Linked DNA regions of Ovis aries. The protein of the gene in region 1 interacts with the protein of each later gene in a pairwise test. Links are inferred from orthologs where the notes say so. Each region holds a gene or a part of one and is shown on either strand. Other genes may lie near its edges. The genes, in order: CCDC102B, ENKD1 and PPP1R18.

Region 1 (6,651 bases):
TCTATTTTTTTTGAAACTTTAATTCTACAAATTAAAAGCAAGCATTAGGATAAAACACCATTTGTAAGTTCTGCAGTAAGCATATTTTTCCTACCCAATACTAAGGATATCTGTCTTCACATGCCAAAAAAATGCTTCTATCAGAACGTTAATTTCAAATATCTGTATATCTTTGTTACACCTAACAGCAATTCTTGGCAAATACCACTGATTATAAATCAATCAGGTAATATTTATACATACAGAAAGATGAATAATCTTCTGCAAAGCTATGATATCAGTCAAATGGCCTTGAGCCCAACCCATCTTCTCTTTGATGGTCTGATTTTCTCCAATAAAATACCTATTTCATTTTTTTAATAATCAAATTCTCAATTCACACTTGATCATAAATGAGCATCTATAATCAGCCATAGAGGATGGGGCTATACAAAATCCCCTCTCTGGGAAAGAGTCTTGGAAGTCAGCCTAGATCTAGTTACTTAATTTAATTAAATAATTATAATATCATAAAGCCAGTGACCAAAGCATTTGAAATGACAAATAATTTTAACAATGACAAGTTTAAAAGGATGAATTTTTACATTTCAACTATCTTTATCTCTTTGGATGCTTGGTAAAAGATATTACTTCAATAAAGCCTATAAGTGATAGCAAGTTTCTAAAATAGTACATTTCTAAAATGATATCATAGAAATTATACATATATATACAAAACTCATTATTATAACATAAGGAACTTTTATAATTTTATTTCATTAAAAATACTGAAAAATAGAGAAGGAAATGAATGCTATTGAAGAGACTAGTTCTGTGCTCTTTAGAGGAAAAGCGAAATAATACATTTAAGGTTTGGCTATTTGAAGGGGAAAGTGTTGTTAACAAGTTCTTTTTACTATCTGTACACTCTTCCCAACATAATCTATTAGCAGTATAAACTTTATATATGCTCTTCACCCACTGAAATAAAACTTATAGGATAATTTTCTTTGGTAATAATTGTATCTCCATAATTTTAAGAAGATGCAGTCACTAGGCATTCATTCATAGCCCACATTAAAAAAAAAAAAAAAAAGGAATGGCAGTGTGTTCCCAATGTCATTTCATTTCCAGTCACTTCATTTATTTCATTTGTGAATAAGTAATATTAGATGAAATCAGAGATGAAATTTCCTTTGAGAAATCAAAATATACCTTCTTTGAGTATGAATACAACATTCAAGAAAATAACCGAGACAAACAAAAGAGCTGAATACGAGAACAGCCAACTTAAATGTAAAGACTGCTTATTTTCTTCTTTCTATTCCAAAGGCAAGAGCGGGCCACCTGAGGGGGCTGTGATTGGCTTGGTCTACAGTTGCTGGAATTGATCTGCCTGTGGTCTCACCACCCATTCCTGGGGCTCGCTTACCCCAAAGCCCACTCCCAACCATCTCGCTAACTCCTGCCAGATTTACATTCCTAAAATACCAGTGCAGCAGAGTAGAAGAGCTCTGGAGCCAGAAAGACGTTGTTTGGAATCCTGCTTCACTTACTATATCTGCAGCTTTAAAGAAATCATCTAACATTTTTGAACATCAGATTCCTTCATGTATAACATGAAGATACTGTGTAAAATGAAGCTCATTTGATTGCATAGCTGTCAAACTTGTAGATACGTATGTAATTACCTTGCACACAGAAGCACACTTACATGTTGAAAATATTTCAACGATGAAGAAGAAGCTGATGGTTAAGAAGAATAAGATGATGAAGAAGAAGGAAGAAGAGGATGAGTAGAAGAAATTTGCATCTTCAGAAATTTGTAATTGCCACCTCTGTATATTATGTAAGGACAAAATAAATGTCCTGCTTTCTATTGAGCCCAGTGTCTACTACTCACAAGGTATATTTTTTTCTGCTTCAGTGAGATGGGTTACTCATCCCTAGCCTACCTCGCTCTATATTAATTTTTGCCTCAAAATCCTTTGCTCCAATCACTTCTACATCGTAGAAGAGTCTTTGGGGTTTTTAGCAACTATTCAAGTTCCACTGATTTTTTTCCCTTTTTAGATTATGAAAGTATGATAGCAGATTTACAGGAGACTTGGAAAATACAGAACAAAGTTACATGTAAGTTCCACTATATATTACAATCACTTGTTTAAGTAGATAAGATTTTTAATTGGAGTTTCAGTATCAAATGCTCAAAAATTAATAGAAAGAAAAGTAAACAGAAAAGTAGAAGGGTACAGTGGACCTGAAAATTACTCTGAACCAATTCAATGTAATTAAGGTTTATACAATTTTCACACAACAGTAGGATACAAATGCTATTCAAGTTCCCATAGACTATAAACTAGGAGACACTGGAACATATCCAGGGAGATAAAAGAAGCTGCAGAAATTTCATGGTTTAAAGGTATTAAAATCCTACATAGTCTGTTCTCTTATCACAGTGGAAATTCCACTGATTTTTTAAACCTCAACTCAGGCATCCAGACTTTTCTTTCAAGGTGTCTCTAAAATCATAAATTTCAAGGCTACACCCATAGTGAGGCACCACAAACTATGTCCCTGTGTCAAACAAATACTGAATCCAATGAAAACACATGAAAGCTTCAAAAGAGACCCCACTGAATGATGTTATCTCACAAGGAAGCTACTTTTTAAAGTTTTGGGGGGAAATGCAATTCATGTAAAACATTTTTCCAAATACTCAAATACACGTTGATATTAAATCAGTATTGCAAAATTACACCAAACTTATGCAACTGTTGTATCGCTAGCTTTTCAAGACTCCTTTCTAATCTAATGCTTCTGTAAAACTATGGAGAAAAGTCAGAATTAGAAACTAATTTATATGTGAGGATATTTGACAATAAAATTAACAACAAAATATTTAATCAAAAGTTGTAACAATACTCTATCCCACAAAAATATTAGCAAATGTGTATTCAGATGATTTTAGAAAATAGGATAACTAGTGCTCCTGTAAGCAAGAATATCAAGAAATATCACCGTGCATTTCAAAGCTATGTTGCACATTTATAATTATATTTTTTAAAAGAATATCTCCTTTTTATTTCTATTTAACAGCTCTGCCCACTCAACCTTCATTTCATAATTTATCTTTGCAGGAAACATAAGCAAATACTTCCCAGAGGCTATGTTTTCTTCAGTTCTGTAATGACTTTCTCTAAATATCCATTTCCTTTTATTTTATATAGGATTGTATTATTTTATGTCTCTTCTCCACACTACCCAGGTAACTTACATAGAGAAATCAATATTAGTGCTAAGTTTAAAGTATACTTTTCTGCTAACAGTGACAGGAATTCAGCACACGGACCAGCAAAATGAAAATAACTCTAAATGCACGAGGCATACGTAGGAGGATTTGCATAGCAATTCTACTTTATTTTTACTCTAAGAATATAAACTACTTCAAACACATTGGCTAACTCATTCATTTGGAACTACAAGACAAGGTCTTATTATCAACATATTATCTTACTGTCTAAGTTTAGAGTTGAAAAATCTTACCTGAGTTTTGTTAGTATACAGTATGTTGGTTTTTGTTTTTTGTTTTTGTTTTTTTACAAAACTGGAATTGTGTAACAAGCTGCCAGGAGAAATAATACCAACGTGGGAAACAGAAGAGGCAGGGAAGAAATCAAGTCCACTTTAAGAAGAAACGTCCATTCCCTCTGTTTCCCAGACCTATGGTAGTTTTGTTTTGGATCTTATAAGCAACTGTCTTTTTCTTTGCTCCGAGAACAACACAGGTTCTACCCAAGCAGGAAAATACAAAAATTAAATAAAAAGCCACAAGGTTATTAAGCATCTTACCCTCTGGGCTGGCTGGGCTGCTCCGGCGGCTCAGTGTTACAGACACATGTGTAAACAGAAGAATTCCCTGCATCCTTTTCTCATCTGTATAGCTCTGGGGTCCAGGCCAACAGGATTATTTCCAGCATTAAGGCCACTCCACACTAACTCGAAGAAGGTTCCAATTGGTTGTGAAGTTTTATCAAAACCAATACCACAACACCCTCCGTGGATCACAAGTGAGCGATCCAAAAGGAAATCGTTTTAGTGTCCCTAACTCAGCACCGTAATCTAATGCTTCTACACAACCTATTTGAAATTTTACTATGCATAATAAAGGGAGAAACACACACCCCTTCATCACCCACCAGTGTGTTTAATGTTTAATAGCAATTTGCTTAACTTGCAGCAGTAACAGAAAAATTGGCAAAGCAAAAAGAATCTATCCGTAAAAGATTTAAAGAAAGATTATAATGCAGATGACAGGAACAAAAGGAAGCATCATTGGTTCAATCTGATCTTTATTAGATTGTGCCCCCAAAGAAAAAAGGATATGTAATAAACTACTTGGGTATAGAAATCAAGATACAGAAAGGTATGTCAGAACCTTTGATTTCATTCATGTAGGCAAGAACTGTGAGCTGCAGTCTCCTGGGCCCCCAGAGAGCTCTCTGGCCCTTGCCCTGGGTGGGGTCGGGTCGGGGTGGGGGGTGGGACAAAAAACAAATGGAGTGACCTTCCTGCGACATGATGCAGCTGTCAGGAAGTGTCCTGATGAATGGGTGACGGCAGACCACACACACACACACAAGTTTTTTTCTAGTTGAATTAACTAACAGCATAGAACGTCCAAAGTTTTTTTCAGAGGAGAGGGCAGAAGAAACACAGTCACTGTATTCTTATATTAATAAATAGCATGAAAACAGCATTTGAAAGTTAGGGAGTTAATATTTTCAAAGATTTTATTCTTCCTCTTTTTAATTCAGATGAATATTCTTGGCTGTATAACCTGCTTGTGCTTAGCCGCTCAGCCATGTCTGACTCTGTGCAACCCCATGGACTGTGTAGCCTGTCAGGCTCCTCTGTCCATGGGATTTTCCAGGCCAGAATACTGGACTGCGTTGCCATTTCCTTCTGCGGGGGATCTTCCCGACTCAGGGATCAAACTTGCGTCTGGGATGTCTCCTGGATTGCAGGCAGATTCTTTACGTGCTGAGCTATACGGGGAAGTCCCAGCTGTGTAACAGATCCGTCATCTATTTTCTAGTGAAGAGCATCCTTCCATTCTTCCTGATACAATGGAGGGTGACCAATCCCCCACAGAAAGTGAACCCTCTGAGGTTTCCTTCCATCCTGTCTTTTCAGATGTGCTCAGTCACTATACCCTTCTCTCACTGAACTCTCCTTTCCTCTGGGTTTTCCTCATGGGATCCTAAACACCATCAGTTCTGCGAGTCTCAGGTATGCCAGTGGGTCTTGCTCTCAGGTGGGTCATCTTCCCTCGTAGTTAGCATTCTCTTCTGTTTCACGGTAAGATGACTGAAAGACCTCTTTCCAGTTCTTTCTAAGAACTCCACTTAATCTGTCCACTACTCCCTTTAGTTCACCAAAGTGACTGTCTCTGAAAACACATACTTGCCCCTCTGCACACACGCATTCACACACAGGCACTATTTTTTTTTTTTTTTAATTTCATAGACTCCTCTCAGTCTCCGTGCTACTCGGCATCTACGTAGCCGTTGTTATTGTTCACCACAGCGCCGATGTGAAGACTTCTCAGATCTCAGCACTACATCTTCCTGGTCTCCCGTGTGACCACTCACTTTTCTTTTCCCCCTCATCCTTACATCCTTCAGTGTGTCTTCATGTAAATCTATTACCTTTCTGGATAATGTCACCCATTCTAATGGTTTCAATGATCACCTTTCCTTCCGAATATTGTAATATTTCCAAATACTGACATTTGGATCCAATCCTCTTCTGAGTCTCCAACACTCATATATATCATCACACTATACTCTGCTACTAGGAAAGATGACAATATAGCATCAAGTTATTTAAAACTGAAATCATCATCTTTCCATGGACTAGCTGTATTGTTTGCCTCAGTTATGCCAACCTGTCTAACACTTAGCTAAAAAAATATTCTAGACATCATCCTTGACTTCTATCTGTATTCAATGCAGCATCATTTGCTTTTGATTTTACTTCAGTAATCTGCCCAGTCCTCTCTCGTGCCCCTGCAACAGTCCTGGTTCAGGTAACTGCTATAACCTGTCTGGATCACTGCAGTGTCTTCCTAAATGATCTCTCTGACTCCAAGCTTGTTCCTCTACATCTTTAGTAAGAGTTTATGTTGTGTACGTCAAGTCGCTTCAGTCATGTTTGATCCTTTGAGACCCAGTGGCTGGTAGCCCACCAGGCTCCTCTGTCCATGGGATTCTCCAGGCATGAATGCTGGAGTGGGTTGCCATGCCCTCTTCCAGGGGATCTTCCTGACCCAGGGCTCAAACCCACACCTTTTATATCTCTTGAATTGGCAGGTGGGTTCTTTATCATGAACGCCACCTGGCAAGCCCTTAGTAAGAGTTACAGTTGCTTATTTCTAATACTCCTGCTATTTGAAATCTCTAATGATTTTTAACCATCTTATCAAATTCCTTCTTCAAAATACATTTGCCAGAATGCAACATTTCTTTATTAATGTTTAGTCTTGTATGTCACCATCCAGTCTCTCGAGCTAGAAACAATTTTATTATTCCTGAGTCCTCACTCCTCTTCACCCTTTGAATGTGACAACACACTTTAAAAGCAAAGCCTGAAAGAATGTCTATTTGTCTA
Region 2 (6,671 bases), on another chromosome or scaffold:
CCTCAAGGAGGCCTGGGCCTGATGGAAAAGGGCCCAAATGGGAGAGCAGGGTTTCTGATCTCAGCGCCTCCCTTTCCTGCAGCAGAAGCTGATTCCAGTGGCCTGGCCTTTGGCTCCAACTCTCTGCAACGGCGCAAGAAAGGGCTCCTACTTCGGCCAGTGGCACCTCTGCGCACCCGGCCACCGCTACTGATCAGCCTGCCACAAGATTTCCGCCAGGTTTCTTCAGTCATAGATGTGGACCTACTGCCTGAGACCCACCGACGGGTGCGGCTGCATAAGCATGGTTCCGACCGCCCCCTGGGTTTCTACATCCGAGATGGCATGAGTGTGCGAGTAGCTCCCCAGGGCCTGGAACGGGTTCCAGGCATCTTCATCTCCCGCCTGGTACGAGGGGGCCTGGCTGAGAGTACAGGGCTGCTGGCAGTCAGTGATGAGATCCTCGAGGTCAATGGCATTGAGGTAGCTGGGAAGACCTTGGACCAAGTGACGGACATGATGGTCGCCAACAGCCACAACCTCATTGTCACTGTCAAGCCAGCCAATCAGCGCAATAATGTGGTGCGTGGGGCATCCGGGCGTCTGGCAGGGCCTCCTTCTGCTGGGCCTGCTGAGCCTGACAGCGACGATGACAGCAGCGATCTAATCATTGAGAACCGCCAGCCTCCCTGTTCCAATGGGCTGTCTCAAGGGCCTCCATGCTGGGACCTGCGCACAAGCCGCCTACTTCCTGCTGCCCGCAGCTCTCTGCCCTCCCTGGATGATCGGGAGCAGGCCAGCTCTGGTTGGGGGAGTAGCATTCGAGGAGATGGTAGTGGCTTCAGCCTCTGACAGGGAAGGATGCAGCCCCTTGCCACTCCAGGCTCTGGGACACTCCAAGGACTTTCCCAGTGGGAGGTTTCAGCGTGCTTACGGGCCCTCTCAGTCTGGGGAACATTAAAGGTTTTCTACAAATGCAGTTATGGTCATTCTGTTTCCCAGCCCTAGCCTCCTCCCTGATCCAACAATTTTGCCTTCTTCTCTGGACATGTGGCAGGAGTGAGTGTGATAAGGGCACCAGAGAAGTCTTCCTGTAGTCACACTGCGGGAGGAACAACAGGTTTGGCATTTCTAGGGTAAGAAAAGCACTTATGGAAACAAACCCCACTGTGTACAAAAGGTTTAATTTTGATAAAGGGTTATGAGGCTGGGATGGCCCTTCCACAGCCACCAGTGGCTGGGAAGAGGGCTCTGGGGACACTGCCCCCTCTCCACTGCTCCTGTCTTCGAACTCCACTCTATGATGGGGCCCAATCCTGCCCTTAGCAACCATGCTGTGACCTTCAGTAAGACCCAGTCACTGTCCCCATAAAAGGGCTCAGGAATCCATCTTCACAAAGACTTTGGGACGGGAAAAGATCTTGATGGCCTCCTCTACCTGCACCAGCTTCCGGTCCAGCTCAGCACGGTGGCTCTGGGCCCTCAGTGAATCCGCCCCCGCAGGCAGCAGCACCAGCTCGCGCAGCAGCTGGCTCTGGCCTACAGGGGCCCCAGGAACAGTAAATGCTGGGCAGGGGTGCATAGTACCTGGTGGGTTCCCCAGCCAGCTCCCCTTGCCCACGTACTCACTCTGGAGCAGACTGCTCAGTGTCTCCAGCCGCTGGTTCTCAGGCATGCGAGTGTGGCCAGGGGGCATGGCTGGGTCTGGTTGGCTGTGCTGACGGGCCTCAGCCTCCCGCCGCCACAGGTCCCTGCGCTCCAACAAGCTGTGATGCACAGACCCAGGGCTGATGACCCTAGGCAGACGTGGGCTTCCACCCTCCATAAGTGCCCCTTCCCAGGAGTGGGGGGAGCAGTAGGACCTACTAATGGGGCACGTGACCCTTCTGCGTGGCGTTGTAGTGCTCCTGGGCTTGCCGTTGCTGCTCCAGCACCTGTGCCAGGACTTGCAGCGAGCGAGAATGCCGCCGGGGGGCCCTCTTGGCAGTGCGGGCATTGTGCATAATGAAGTCCACACCCAGACCTGGGGCCTGCGGGACATGGCCAGCATGATGAAACAGCACTGTGTGGTGCCCCGGAATCCCTGCCCCACCTCCCAGCCCCCACATATCCTCTCACCTTAGCATTGGGACCTGGTAGGGTTAGCTGGGGACTGGGGACACGGGGTGGTGGGAGCCCGGGGCCGCAACGGGAATGGGCCCGCAGAAAGTGGGCTGGCTCAGTTCTAGAGGCAGGGCCGGGCTCCTGGAGGCCAAGGCAGAGCGGGGGGTGGTCAGTCAGGCTGAAGTCAGGGTCTCAAGCTGTAAGACCATGCCTCTGTCCCTCCTGTCTTTCAGGATCTTTCTCTATCACCAGTCCTCTGGACCTGGCCTCCTTCCTCTTGAATAAGTACTTCCATCACATCAGCATTTAAACCTGTGTGTTTTTCACATCTCTCAGAAAACATATTTCCCTCCCTCTACCTCAGTCCTGGCTTCAGTCATCGTTCTCTTTTTCTCTCCTTCCTAGTCAAGCTTTCTGGCTCTGTCCCTACCAAGGCCACCAACAGCTGGTCTCCAAGCCCCCAAATCCAGGGTCACTTCCCTGGTTTCACTATCCTCAGCCTCGTCCTCAATAGCTCCTGGGTCTCACTTCTGAGATCCAGACCTGATTCTCCATCTGCCTCTTGGACACATTCCCACTCCCTGGAAGCCCCACAAAAGCTTCAGCTTCAACACACCCACATATGACCTTGTCTTTTTTTCTGTCCTACTTCTCCTTCTCAGACCCCTGGAAAGAGAAGTGGCACCACTAGCTACCCCAGATAGAATCTTACCACCATACATACCCCTGCCCTTCCCATTGTCCTTAGAAATAAAGGTTTAAAAAAATGGATTTATGTGGCCCTTTATGATGTGGGTCCAGCTGACTTCTTAGCCTAACCTCATGTTCTTCCTCCCTCATAGTGAACTGAACACAGCATCCCCACTGCCCACACTCCTAAGTCCCTGGTGTTAGGACCAGGGACCCTGGAACCACAAGGTTCCATTTCTATAAAATGTTCTCCTCTATTCTCCCCTTGCCTAATTCCGACTTGCCCCTCAGAATCACCCAGCTGTCATCACTTCAGAGAAAGGCCACAGCCCCACTCTGCAGCAGGACCAGCTCTTCATCCCCTGTGACCTCAGCCCACTGTGGGTTTCCTCCCTCCTCATAACTCAAGTCAGAGTATAATGTCCTGTTGGCCAACAAGACGGGCAACACTTGGGGCTCCCTGAGGCAGGTACCTGCAGCTGAGCCTTGACACGCGACTCCACTTTGTCATACTTGGGTGAGCGCCACAGGGCCTTCAGGGGCCTGGATTGGGCCTGCTCCTGGCTGTGCTCCTGCTCACGGAAGCGCCTCTGGATTTCCCTGATCCGCCTCATGTTCTCCTTCTCATGGTCTTTAGGGTCCTTCCCTGGAGAAAAGATGTTGCCCTACATACAGCCCATACAATCCAACTTACCCCAGTGGACACACAAGCCCACACCCTGCCTCCCTGACATACTCTAAAGTCCACCACATAACCTTGTTCTCGTCCTCACACCATAATTATCTTCTGTTTCTGATGATTTTATACATATTTGATTATGAAGTATACTAGTAATCACCTTGCATATCCTATTCACCTCTTCACTTGTTTTACTGTCTCCCACCTTGATTCAATGATGCGCTTCTTCGACCTTGTTCTCCTAGCACCCATAGGGCCTGGAGCACAGCAGACACTCAACAACCAACCATGCATAAATCCATGAAGCTGAGCTACGGGCTTTTCCGGGGTATGCCTCATTTAGTCCTCTCCTGCGAAGAAGTCGTGCATTTCCCGCTCCTTCTACAGTTGGGGAAACAGACACTCTGAGAGGTAAAGCCTGAGCCCAGAGCAGGGAAGGGGAAGCAGCCGTCTTTTTATCTGTTTTGACTTCAGAGCCGCCTCGCTGTCCGTTCTGACCAGAACTTACTCTTGGGAGAGGCCCCTGGGCCTAGGGAGATACCCCCGAGCTGCAGCAGCACACCACCCACGCCGCGACGGCCACGCTCCAGGATTTCTAGGCCTCCCGGACGGATGCGAGGGGCGCGGGGAGGGGTGGCGTCTAGGTCCGGGTCCGTATCCGTCGTCAGCAGGTCCAACTTCGGCGCGTTTCCCTCAAGGCGCCCTTGGGCTGAGAGGCCAGACGGGGCAGAGTGCGGAGTCAGTGGTGGAGCTGGGCCCGACCCTTGCCAGGCCGCTTTCACTCCCTAACTCACCCGAAGACGGCCTCCGGTAGTAGTCCGGACAGAGCGTAGGGTCTGGGGGGATGGGCCCCGAGATGCGGGACGGACCCTCACACATACCGCCGCCGCCGTCCTGCAAACGTTGCACCTGAGGCCTGCCGGGCTACGCGTCTCTGGCTCCAAACCCGGCTTCTCAGCCCAGTGCCTCCTCCCTGGCCCCGGGTCCTAACCTCAGCCGTGCCCTGCCTGCGTTCCCGGCCCCCACCCCGCCTCCCGGCCCCGGCCTGCGCTCGCCACCTCTGCTCTCAGCCCACCTCTCAGTACCGTTGGCAGGCTTCTCACTCGGGCAAGGGGCTCACCAGAGCGGTTTTGCCGCCCACTGCCGCCACCCGACGGGTTTGCTGTTGCCAGGCAACAATGGTTTCCGTCCGTGAGGTCAGGGGCCAATGGCCTTGGCGCAAAGCCTTCTGGGGCCTGTAGTTCCAGCTGAGGGGGGAGCAGAACGACTGTCAGTTGCCCTTCCCAATCCGGTCCTCTCCCGGGTCCGCTCAGGGTCTACTAGTCTGGCCCCTCAGGATCCGCCCTCCATCCCCAATGCCCCTCAAGCAACCGTCGAGGAAGTGCTGATCCGCCGCAGCTATGGACTCCGCAGGGGCTGAGAAGCGGCCAGGGGCCCAAGAAGGGGCAGCCGTGGGGCAGTCACAGCTTACAGAGATGCCTGGTGGCCATGCTCAGAATTCTGAGGTGACCATCGGGCTGTCTAACCTTCAAACACTTGGGTCATAGCGCTTTAATAGACCAAAACTGCCAGGCCAGGTTCCACAGGCTGGGAGGGGCATGGGCTGGTGCCCTTCATCCAGAGTATTTAGAGTCTAATGGCTGGTCCCTGTATCCTTTACCTGGCCATGGTGACCAGTTACCTGTGTGTCACCGCTAGTGTCCAGTGATGGGAGACCAGGGCCTGGTGCCAGCCCATGAGGCCTGCCAAACCCAGGATGAAGATAAATGTCCAATAAGATCCACCTCAGAGCCAAAGATCCAGGAGAGACTCAAGCTGGAGGAAGACAGGCACAAACCAGAGGTGGAGGCCCTGGAGGAGAGAGGTCCCAGGCCTACGGCCTCCACTGTGAGGCCCAGTCATGGTCCGAAGAGGAAGCCGGTCAAGTGAGGGGGCTTTCAGAGGGAAGAGACTGGGAACTGGGGAGGTGGTGTGGGGGTGGCTCATACCCCAGTTGGATTCTTAAATGGGGCCTTACAGTAGTGTCCATCCTTATCCCCTGACACCACCATCATTCCTCACCTCTGCTGACCCTCCAGAGCCCTGATGTAGGGAACATGCAGAGCAAAAGTCTCAAGGCCTGGTAGGGGACTGAACTCCCATGATCTCTGGGTCCCTGTCCAGTCCAGGGCCTCACTGACCAGGAAAAGGACAAGGATCACGGCCTGGGGAGGTAGGCAGGCAGGACTGTTCCCTAGGACAGGGCACAGGAGCCAAGGCTGCAGGCTGGCTCCTCAGGCCTCCTTGTTCCCCAGCCTCACAGGCCCGAGCCACCAAGCCCATCCTAGGGCAGAGAGTGAGTTGCCACAGGGGCTGTCGCTGCAGAGGGAAGAGCCGGAGAATAATCAGAATGAGCCCTCACCATCTGCCAAACAGCACAAAAAGACCAAGAAGCGCAAGAGTCTGGGAACCCCAGTGCTCCCAGTGGTGGCCAGCACGGTGTCGGCACCCTCAGTGACCTTGGGGCCTGAGCGTGAGTGGCATTTCCTGAGCCTTCCCTTTTGTCCCAGCCAGCTGGACCCAACACAGCCCAGCTTGGCACTCCAGTCATTGCCCTGCCCTGGGTTCTTGTAGGAAAGGCCCAGCGCCTGCGGCCCCTGTACCAGTACATCAACTATTGCAACCCTGAACTGAACCAGGCAGGGGAGGGGGACAGGGAGGCTGAGGCTGAGGTGGAGCCTGAGTCAGAGCTGACAGTGGTCCCCGAGGAGGCGGGTGTGGAGCAACTGCAGGCATTGCTGCCAGTGGCAGGTGAGCTGGGCTCCGACCTCACTCTGCCCTGCCCCAGTATGTTTGTGCCCCCGACCCACACTCTGGTTCCCCTGGGGGAGGAAGCCAGTGAGGAGCCTGGGGGTCTGCCCAGCTTGGGGGTAAGCGGTTGCCTCAAGGCTGAGATGGACAAGTCAACTCAGGTGGACATCAACAAGATGCTAAGTGTCTGCAATGCCCCGCTTGTCCCCCCACTCTCTCCTCAGTACAAGTGATTATCCTGACCCCCACCCCATGACTCCCTGCCCTCCCAAGCCTGAGCCAGAGCAGCAGTCTAAGGCCTGAGGCTCTCAGGTGGAGGAGGGGACTCAGCCCCTGCCCCTCTCTGGGATCCCACGTTTGATAAAAATAAACATTCTTCCTTTTCTCAGACTGTGATTCCCCAAATAAGATGCCTGAAGAGGGAGCAGCT
Region 3 (6,669 bases), on another chromosome or scaffold:
TAAAACCCGAACCCCTCTGCCTCCCCAGGCTTCCTACCCCAGCATTCTTTTGCCCACTTTTGCCCTGCAGACCCTGCCCCCATAGATTCCAGGCTGTGGCCTCAATTCTGGTCTCCCACCCAGATGGGCTGGGCTGGGTCAGAGACTCGGGAATGGAAAGCATGGGGGGGTGAACTCAGAGCCTGAGGGAGAGAAGAGTGAGGAGCCTGGGCACACCCTGAGAGAGACACACCCAGGACAGCGAGCCTGATTGCGGAGCAGGCTCCTTGGGCTGGGAAATGAATGGAAAAGAAGGGCCACAAGAAGGAAGGGTGTGTGTTCAGGGGAGGAAGGGTGGCAGCAGGAATGAACAAGAATAGATGAAGACAAGGATACAGAGGTATAAAAAAAGGGAGAGAGACAGGAGTCCACAGAGCAGTGATGGGGGGCTGGCCAAGAAGTCTGGGTTGGCTGCTCCCTACCTGTTTGTGGCGCCTTTCAGGGGACCCCTTGACAAGGCAGCTGCGGCTGAGGCGGAGGTAGCCCCCCAGAACCAAGATCTCCTCGGCAGTCGGGTACCGCTTCTTCCCAGCCCCAGGGACCGCCGTGTCAGCTGTGGCTGGGGCGGCTGGAGTGGCAGGGGCTGCAGGGGGCGCGGACCGCCGGGGGTTGACTGTGAAGGTGTGTCCGCTGCGGCGGGGGGCCCCCACCCCTGGCCCTGCCTTCACCCCGTAGAAGAGCCGGCTCATGAGGGGATCCCCAAGGGACTGGGGGGCAGGTGGGGCTGGGGGTGGGGGAGACAGAGGGGCTGCGGGTGGGGGCCGGAGTTCCCCTGCTTCCTCTTCCTGCCGTCTAGAGGCTCCAGTCCCGGCGTCCTCTGGGGAGAGGGGGGAGGGCGCAGAGCAGCGGTCCTGCAGGGCGCCCAGAGGCCTGCTCTGAGCGCCCGCCTCCTCCTTCTCAGCCTCTGCACCCAAAGGACCCACGTGCTTCTCAACAGACTCTGGAGTGTCTGGTTTCTGGGGCTGAGGCTCTGTGTCCCTGGGTGTCCAGTCTCGGGCCTTCCCAGAGTTCAGGGTCCATTTCCATCCTTCCGGGGGCCGCAGGCCCCTCTCGCCATCCTCTACGGGGCTGGGCCTTTCTTCTGCTCCCTCTGGTCCTGCAGAGCGACTGTCTGGAGCCTCCCTTGTTGGGGTCTCTGACGACGCTGTGGTCCCTTCTGGGTCCATTCTTGGAATCGGCCTCTCGTCTTTTCTCCCCCATTCCTCTGAGCAGTCTTTTCTTTCTTCTCCTGAACTCGGCCTCCACTCTGATGCCTCCAGTTGTCCCAAACTCTGTCCCGGAGACTCTTTGGGGTCAGGCCTCCATTTATGGGAGTCTGTCAGGCCCAGCTTCTGGTTGTCAGACTCTTCGGGGCTCCGTTTACTGTCCACCACCTCTGTTCTCCTGGGGCTTTGTTCTCGGGGCTCTGCCAGTCTCAAACTCCGCTCAGGAGTTTCTCCAGGGCTCAGCCTCCATTTCCGCACCTCTGACAGTCTAGAGCTCCTGTCTCCAGCCTCTCCTGGGCTCTGCCTCCAGTCCCGAGACTCCAAAGGCCTGGGGCTCGACTCTCGAGCGCCCCCTATCCCCAGCCTCTTCTCTCTGGCCTCCCTAGGACTGAGCCGCTCTTCCCTGGACTCTCTTCCCTTGGGGCTGGGATCCCGTGTCTCCCCGGGGCTGGGTCTCCGCCCCCGGGTCTCCAAAGGTCCAGGCCGTTTGTCCGTGAGTAGCTCTTCACTCCGCTGCTGTTGCTGCTGCTGCTGCTGCTGCTGCTGCTGCTGGCGCTCTTGCCGGATAAATCGGTTCTGGTGCACAGGCCCAATGGCCTCCAGGAGGACAGCAGACTCGTCTGGGTTTGGAGGTCCAGCCTCCGTAGTCCCAGGCGCAGGGCTAGGCTCCCCAGGAGACAGACCAAGCTTGGCCCGGCGGCGCTCCAGAAGGCCCCGCTTCCAGGCTGGCATCTGCGACAGCCGCTCCCGCTCTGCCGTCTCACGGCCGCGAACGGCTGCCTCTTCCTGCCGGCGCCGGGCTAGCAGCTGTAGCTTCCAGTCTGGGATGGTGGCCATGGTCGCCTTGGGGAGGGTGGGGGAACGCTGGGGGGCAGAGAACAGGAAGGAGAGGCTCCAGAGGGGCCCAGGAGGTGAGAATGGGGGTGGGGGAGAGGAAGCAGGGGGAGAGGTGGGTCACAGAGGAGCTGAGGGTGAGGACAGTAGGAAAGGGGGCGGCGGAGGGGAGCAGAGAAAGGGGAAAACCTGAGAAAGTGAAGAGGAAACTAAGAGCCAGGTGATGGGGTTGGGGGAGGTGGGTCGAGAGGAACAGTGGAGATTCAGGGCAAAGAGACAGGAGTCAGATTTGTGGGTACAGGTTACTGGGCATCAGAGACAGTCCCCAGGTTGTGAGAAGAGGGAAAAACGAAAGAAGCTGGCACGAGGGAGAAGAGAGAAGAGAGGCTGGGGGTGAGCGGGGCAGGATCCGACCGAGGTTGCCTGACCGCTACCTCAGGAGCGGCGGGAGTGGGAAGCGAGGTCAGCGGGATCCCCGGCGGAGAGGGGGCAGTGGGACCTGAAGGGGTGTCGGGAAGGTGGGAGGGCGGAGAGTGGACAGGTCCAGGGGAGAAGGGGGAATCGGGGGCAGAGGGGCGAGGGAGCTCGGCGGCTGTAGCCGGGCGAGTCTCGGCGCGGGCCCCGGAGGTCCGGGCTCCCCTTCCAGCTCCGCTTGAGCCACGCCTCTCAGACCCCCCAGCCCCCACCCCTCCGCCCTGCACTCCGCCCCGGGGCGGGCCAGGGGAAATACCCTCCCCCGGGGACTTTCGGAACCCGGCGATCGGAGCTGCCAGCTCGTTCCCAGAACCCTGGCGTCCACCCCCCACCAACCCTAACCCGGTCCGGGCCCCGCCGCCGGCCTCCCCCACCGGCGATGCCCCGGGGTCCCGGGCGAGCGAGCGCCTCAGGCGTACGGAGCACCGGCTCCACACCGCTTCTCTCCGGAGCCGGCCAGTCTCGCGCCGGGGTCTCGGCGCTCATGGAACCCCGACCTCGCCAGCCGTCCCCACCCGGCTATGACCGCACTGACGGGCAATCTCGGCACAAAGAGAGGAGAGGCAGCCCGAGGTCCGCGCCCGGGACGGAAGGGAGGGGACACCCCCTCCCCAAGTCTGAAGCCCCTGGGTCAACTCACATGCCGCGGGGCTCCCGGGGGAGGGGGTGCGAAGGAGCCTGACGTCCGGAGAGAGGAGGAGAGAGGAAGAGGAGGAGAGAGGGATAGAGGGAGATCCGGGGCAGGAGGTGGGGGGGGGCGCGGGGGGCGCGGGAGGGGGGAAGGGAGGAGAAGGGGAGGGACGGAGACAGACCCGGGGGCCGAGCGGGGGGCGGCCGCCGCTTTGTCTGAGGACAATGGGGAGAGGGAAGGGGGCGCTGGGCGGAGCCGGGCGCGGGGGCGGAGCCTCGCTCCCCGGGTCCCCCGCGTGGATCCTCGGCCCCGGGACTCCTGTTTTCCCGCCGCGATCCCCGGCACTCCGCGGTCCTTCCCCAGGGCCTCTCACGCGGCTGCCGCCCGGTAACCCTGGACAGCCCAGGTGTCCAGACCCCCACCCCCAGCTAGCCAAGCCGGGGCGGCGGCCCGTGACTCAGACCCCTCGAGGGACTTCGGGAGGAAGCGGCAGCTGCTCGGAGCCGGGCCCGCCCTTCCCATCTCCTGCCGCTCCTCCCCACGCTTTTGCCTTCCCGGGCCAGCCTTTGTTACCGTGGGGGCGCTTGCGGGGCCCGTGGGGAGGGGGCGGCCACAGGAGCAGGGCTGGGAAGACAACGGTTTCGGAAGCTCGCTCCCTTACCCGAACCGTCTCCCCACTCTTCCGTTTCAGCCCGTCCCCCACCCGGGTCTGCAGCAAGGAAATTGGGAGATTTGGAGGAAGGGGGACCGGGTGCTCCGGGAAGGGGGTGGAGGGCTGGGTGCGCGGGGAGTGGCCGCCGCCCAGCGGTCACCAGAAGGCGCGGCCGATGCCCAGACTCCAATGTAACTCGCCTTTCCCAGAGCCAGCCCTGCAGCTTTGAGAGACACTGACAGACTGCATTCTACACGTAGAAAAACCAGACTGAATTTTATTTTCCTGTAGCGTGAGTTCCTCGGGAAAGCAGGGAGCCTCTAGTCACCTTAGCTAAGAACGGGAGAAACCGCTCAACTAGGTTCAGGAGGATGGAGCCTAGGGTCGGGGCCTAGGGAGCTGAAAAGGCCAGACAGTGGGCCTCGGTCCAGCCCCTGGGAGGGAGCTAGACGTGGAGAAAGGATCCCTGAGGCACAGAGGGTAGTAACAGGGCTAAGGGAGTGGTCAAGCCAGACTCTTCTCTTGGTGAGGAAATTGTTAACGGAGGGTCAAGCCCTGAACTGTGAGAAGAAGTTCCCAGCCACTCCTTCCTGGCTGGTGAGAAGTGGCCCTTGGAGTCCAATGGCTGAAATTCAGTATGGAGCTGGAACCAAGGAGTGGAGGCTCAAGCAAGGAAAGGGACCACTCCTTCAGTCCATGGATTTGGGCCTCTGGTCTGAAGCAGCCAAGGCCTAGATGTTAAGGGAATTTGGGATAGGAGGGAGAGAGGAAGTACAGGGCTTGCAACCAGGGTTAACCCCTTACTCGGCCTCCCCATCCTGGGGCCGGGAGAGCAGGTGGAGTTTTCTTTGTAGCTGGGCCCGGAGATAGCGGAGATCATGCTGGTCCAGTCCGTGAGCCAGGCCCAGGTAGAGGGTAAGGAGGAGAGCAAGGAGCAGGCGGTCAGTGCCCAGGGTGGGTACCACCCATAGCACTGTCAGCAGCTCCACGCACACTGGATGGCGCAGGTGGGAGAAGAGTCTCAGAGCCCGGGGCGACTTCAGGGCCAGAGGCTCGCCCAGCCCCAGCACATGGTAGTACACCTAGCAGAGGGAGAATGGCTTAGGAATGGAGCCAAGCCCTTGTCACAACTTAACTGCCTCTTTCCTCCCGTCCTGGGCACCCTCCTTCTATGACAGGCTCAGGAACCACCCTCCTGAGACTGGAGGTCCCTGACCCTCATCTCTGGCCCATGAACCTTCCCAGGCCCAAGAAGCCCATGATTCCTAGCCTTTGAGGGAGGGCTGGGGGGAGACTGTCTTATAAGAAAGGGAGGTGAAGGGCTCAAAAACAAGAGGCAGGTGGAAGACAATGGGAGGCACAGGGACATCCTTGGAGGGGAAAGAGGTATTCTAGAAAGGATCAGATGTCTTGGGTAGGGATCTGGGAGCCTCACCTGTTTCAGGCCCATGAGCTCTGCGTAGTCGAAGACGAGAAGGATGCTGAAGATGAGGAGCCAGGAAATGACGTGGAGGACAAAGCAGAGGAGGGGCACCCAAGTGGCCCATGGCTCAGCCCGAGCCTCCCACAACACAGGACCCCTGGGCACAGGCTCCCAGTACCGCATCACCAGCTGAGGAAGGAAGAGGAACTGGGTTTCCCAGCAGCCCACCCTTGACAGACCCAGACCCAGGGGCTGCCTCCAGTCCAGGCTGGCCAGCTGTTCCCCCCACCTCTATCATGAGCATGTTCACCATGTGGAGGGTGCTGGGTGGGGTCCTAAGGATGTAAGAATGACTTGTCTCCACTCTGAGGACTTAGAGAATGGATGAGGGTGACCACATAGGCACACAAAATAGCCTATGCCAAGCACCCACTGAGGAGACAGGTGAGTACTAACCGGGAAGCTTTCTCTTGAGATCTAGGGAAGTGCTTTTGAAGAAAGGATAAGACTGAAGAGGTGTTACCAAGGCACTCTCAAGCGGGACAACAGGAACGAAGTTGCAAAGGTGAGAATGCACACATCATGCGTAGGGGATGACAAGCAGTACATACTTCTTGATAAAAAGGAGAAATGTGTGCTGTGAAATAACGGGAGCTGAGACTAGTCCTGAACACCCTCAGTTCTCCTCCTAAACCCACACTTTATCCGAAGCCTGAGGTTCTTGCAGCTCCAATCAATGACATCCTTCACACATGCTGTTTCCCTTGAGGACTCAGCTGCCAGGGCTTCATACCTGCAAGGCCAGGGCAGTGCATGCCACGTACAGTGACCTCTGAAGGACCCCAAAGTACCGGGACATCCATTCCTTCACGGTCTCAGTTGCCATGAGGCTGTGCTGCCCCACAAACAGTAACAGGAGCCCCAGATCCCAAACCAGCGGGACAAGGATGCTTTGGTCCTGCAGGGCAGCCAGCCATCCCTGGCGGGCATCTAGCGGGAGTTGGAAAAAGGTACAAAAGATCAAGAAGACTGTGGGAAACACTCTCTACCTTCACCTCCTCTTGGGGACCCCAGGCCATGTCCCTTAATGCTTTCAAGAGCCTTATCACTTCCTCTCTAGGCTTTGCCCACCTCACTTTGCTATTCCCTGTTTCTCCCCCTTTCCCCATGCTTCTTTCAGAGCTGGGGAAGAACATTCCTGTTGGGCAGTCACGAAAGGCATGGCTGGAGTGCCCTTCATGTTTCGGTTCTCCAAATGCTCCCTCTTTGTAACGCCCTCTATAGTCCTCTCTACGAAGCACTTTCCTGAGAATTTCTGTTCATTGCCCTTTCCCTCCCCCTCAATCCTCACTCTCCCGCCTCTCCAAACCGCTAATCCCAGAGTTCCTAATTTAGCCCTCCGGTCTCCTCG

What was found.
Region 2: the proteins of CCDC102B (region 1) and ENKD1 interact in binary tests that used the Homo sapiens proteins (3 or more experiments, as listed by UniProt). The two-hybrid records come from large-scale screens. The link is inferred for Ovis aries from reciprocal best matches to the Homo sapiens genes CCDC102B and ENKD1.
Region 3: the proteins of CCDC102B (region 1) and PPP1R18 interact in binary tests that used the Homo sapiens proteins (3 or more experiments, as listed by UniProt). The two-hybrid records come from large-scale screens. The link is inferred for Ovis aries from reciprocal best matches to the Homo sapiens genes CCDC102B and PPP1R18.

What each region holds. Positions count from the first base shown.
Region 1 is NC_056076.1:8,634,100-8,640,750, forward strand, and holds the start of CCDC102B (coiled-coil domain-containing protein 102B), read right to left. Parts: upstream 3,884-6,651; 5' UTR 3,832-3,883; intron 1-3,831. UniProt on the Homo sapiens protein: During interphase, forms fibers at the proximal ends of centrioles to maintain centrosome cohesion. During mitosis, dissociates from the centrosome following phosphorylation to allow centrosome separation. Contributes to CROCC/rootletin filament formation.
Region 2 is NC_056067.1:34,773,702-34,780,372, forward strand, and holds ENKD1 (enkurin domain-containing protein 1), read right to left. Parts: upstream 4,632-6,671; 5' UTR 4,572-4,631; exon of another isoform or gene 4,527-4,571; intron 4,346-4,526; 5' UTR 4,331-4,345; coding exon 4,246-4,330; intron 4,161-4,245; coding exon 3,960-4,160; intron 3,419-3,959; coding exon 3,246-3,418; intron 2,224-3,245; coding exon 2,098-2,223; intron 2,010-2,097; coding exon 1,846-2,009; intron 1,746-1,845; coding exon 1,609-1,745; coding exon of another isoform or gene 1,605-1,608; intron 1,519-1,604; coding exon 1,358-1,518; 3' UTR 1,145-1,357; downstream 1-1,144. Other genes in the region: PARD6A (partitioning defective 6 homolog alpha), read left to right, coding at 1-831; C14H16orf86 (uncharacterized protein C16orf86 homolog), read left to right, coding at 4,852-4,956, 5,150-5,376, 5,716-5,963, 6,065-6,474. UniProt on the Homo sapiens protein: Microtubule-binding protein which regulates microtubule organization and stability. Promotes the stability of astral microtubules and facilitates the proper orientation of the mitotic spindle.
Region 3 is NC_056073.1:27,437,020-27,443,688, reverse strand, and holds the start of PPP1R18 (phostensin), read right to left. Parts: upstream 3,918-6,669; 5' UTR 3,845-3,917; exon of another isoform or gene 3,193-3,844; intron 2,109-3,192; 5' UTR 2,082-2,108; coding exon 462-2,081; intron 1-461. Other genes in the region: NRM (nurim), read right to left, coding at 4,636-4,917, 5,271-5,447, 6,052-6,248.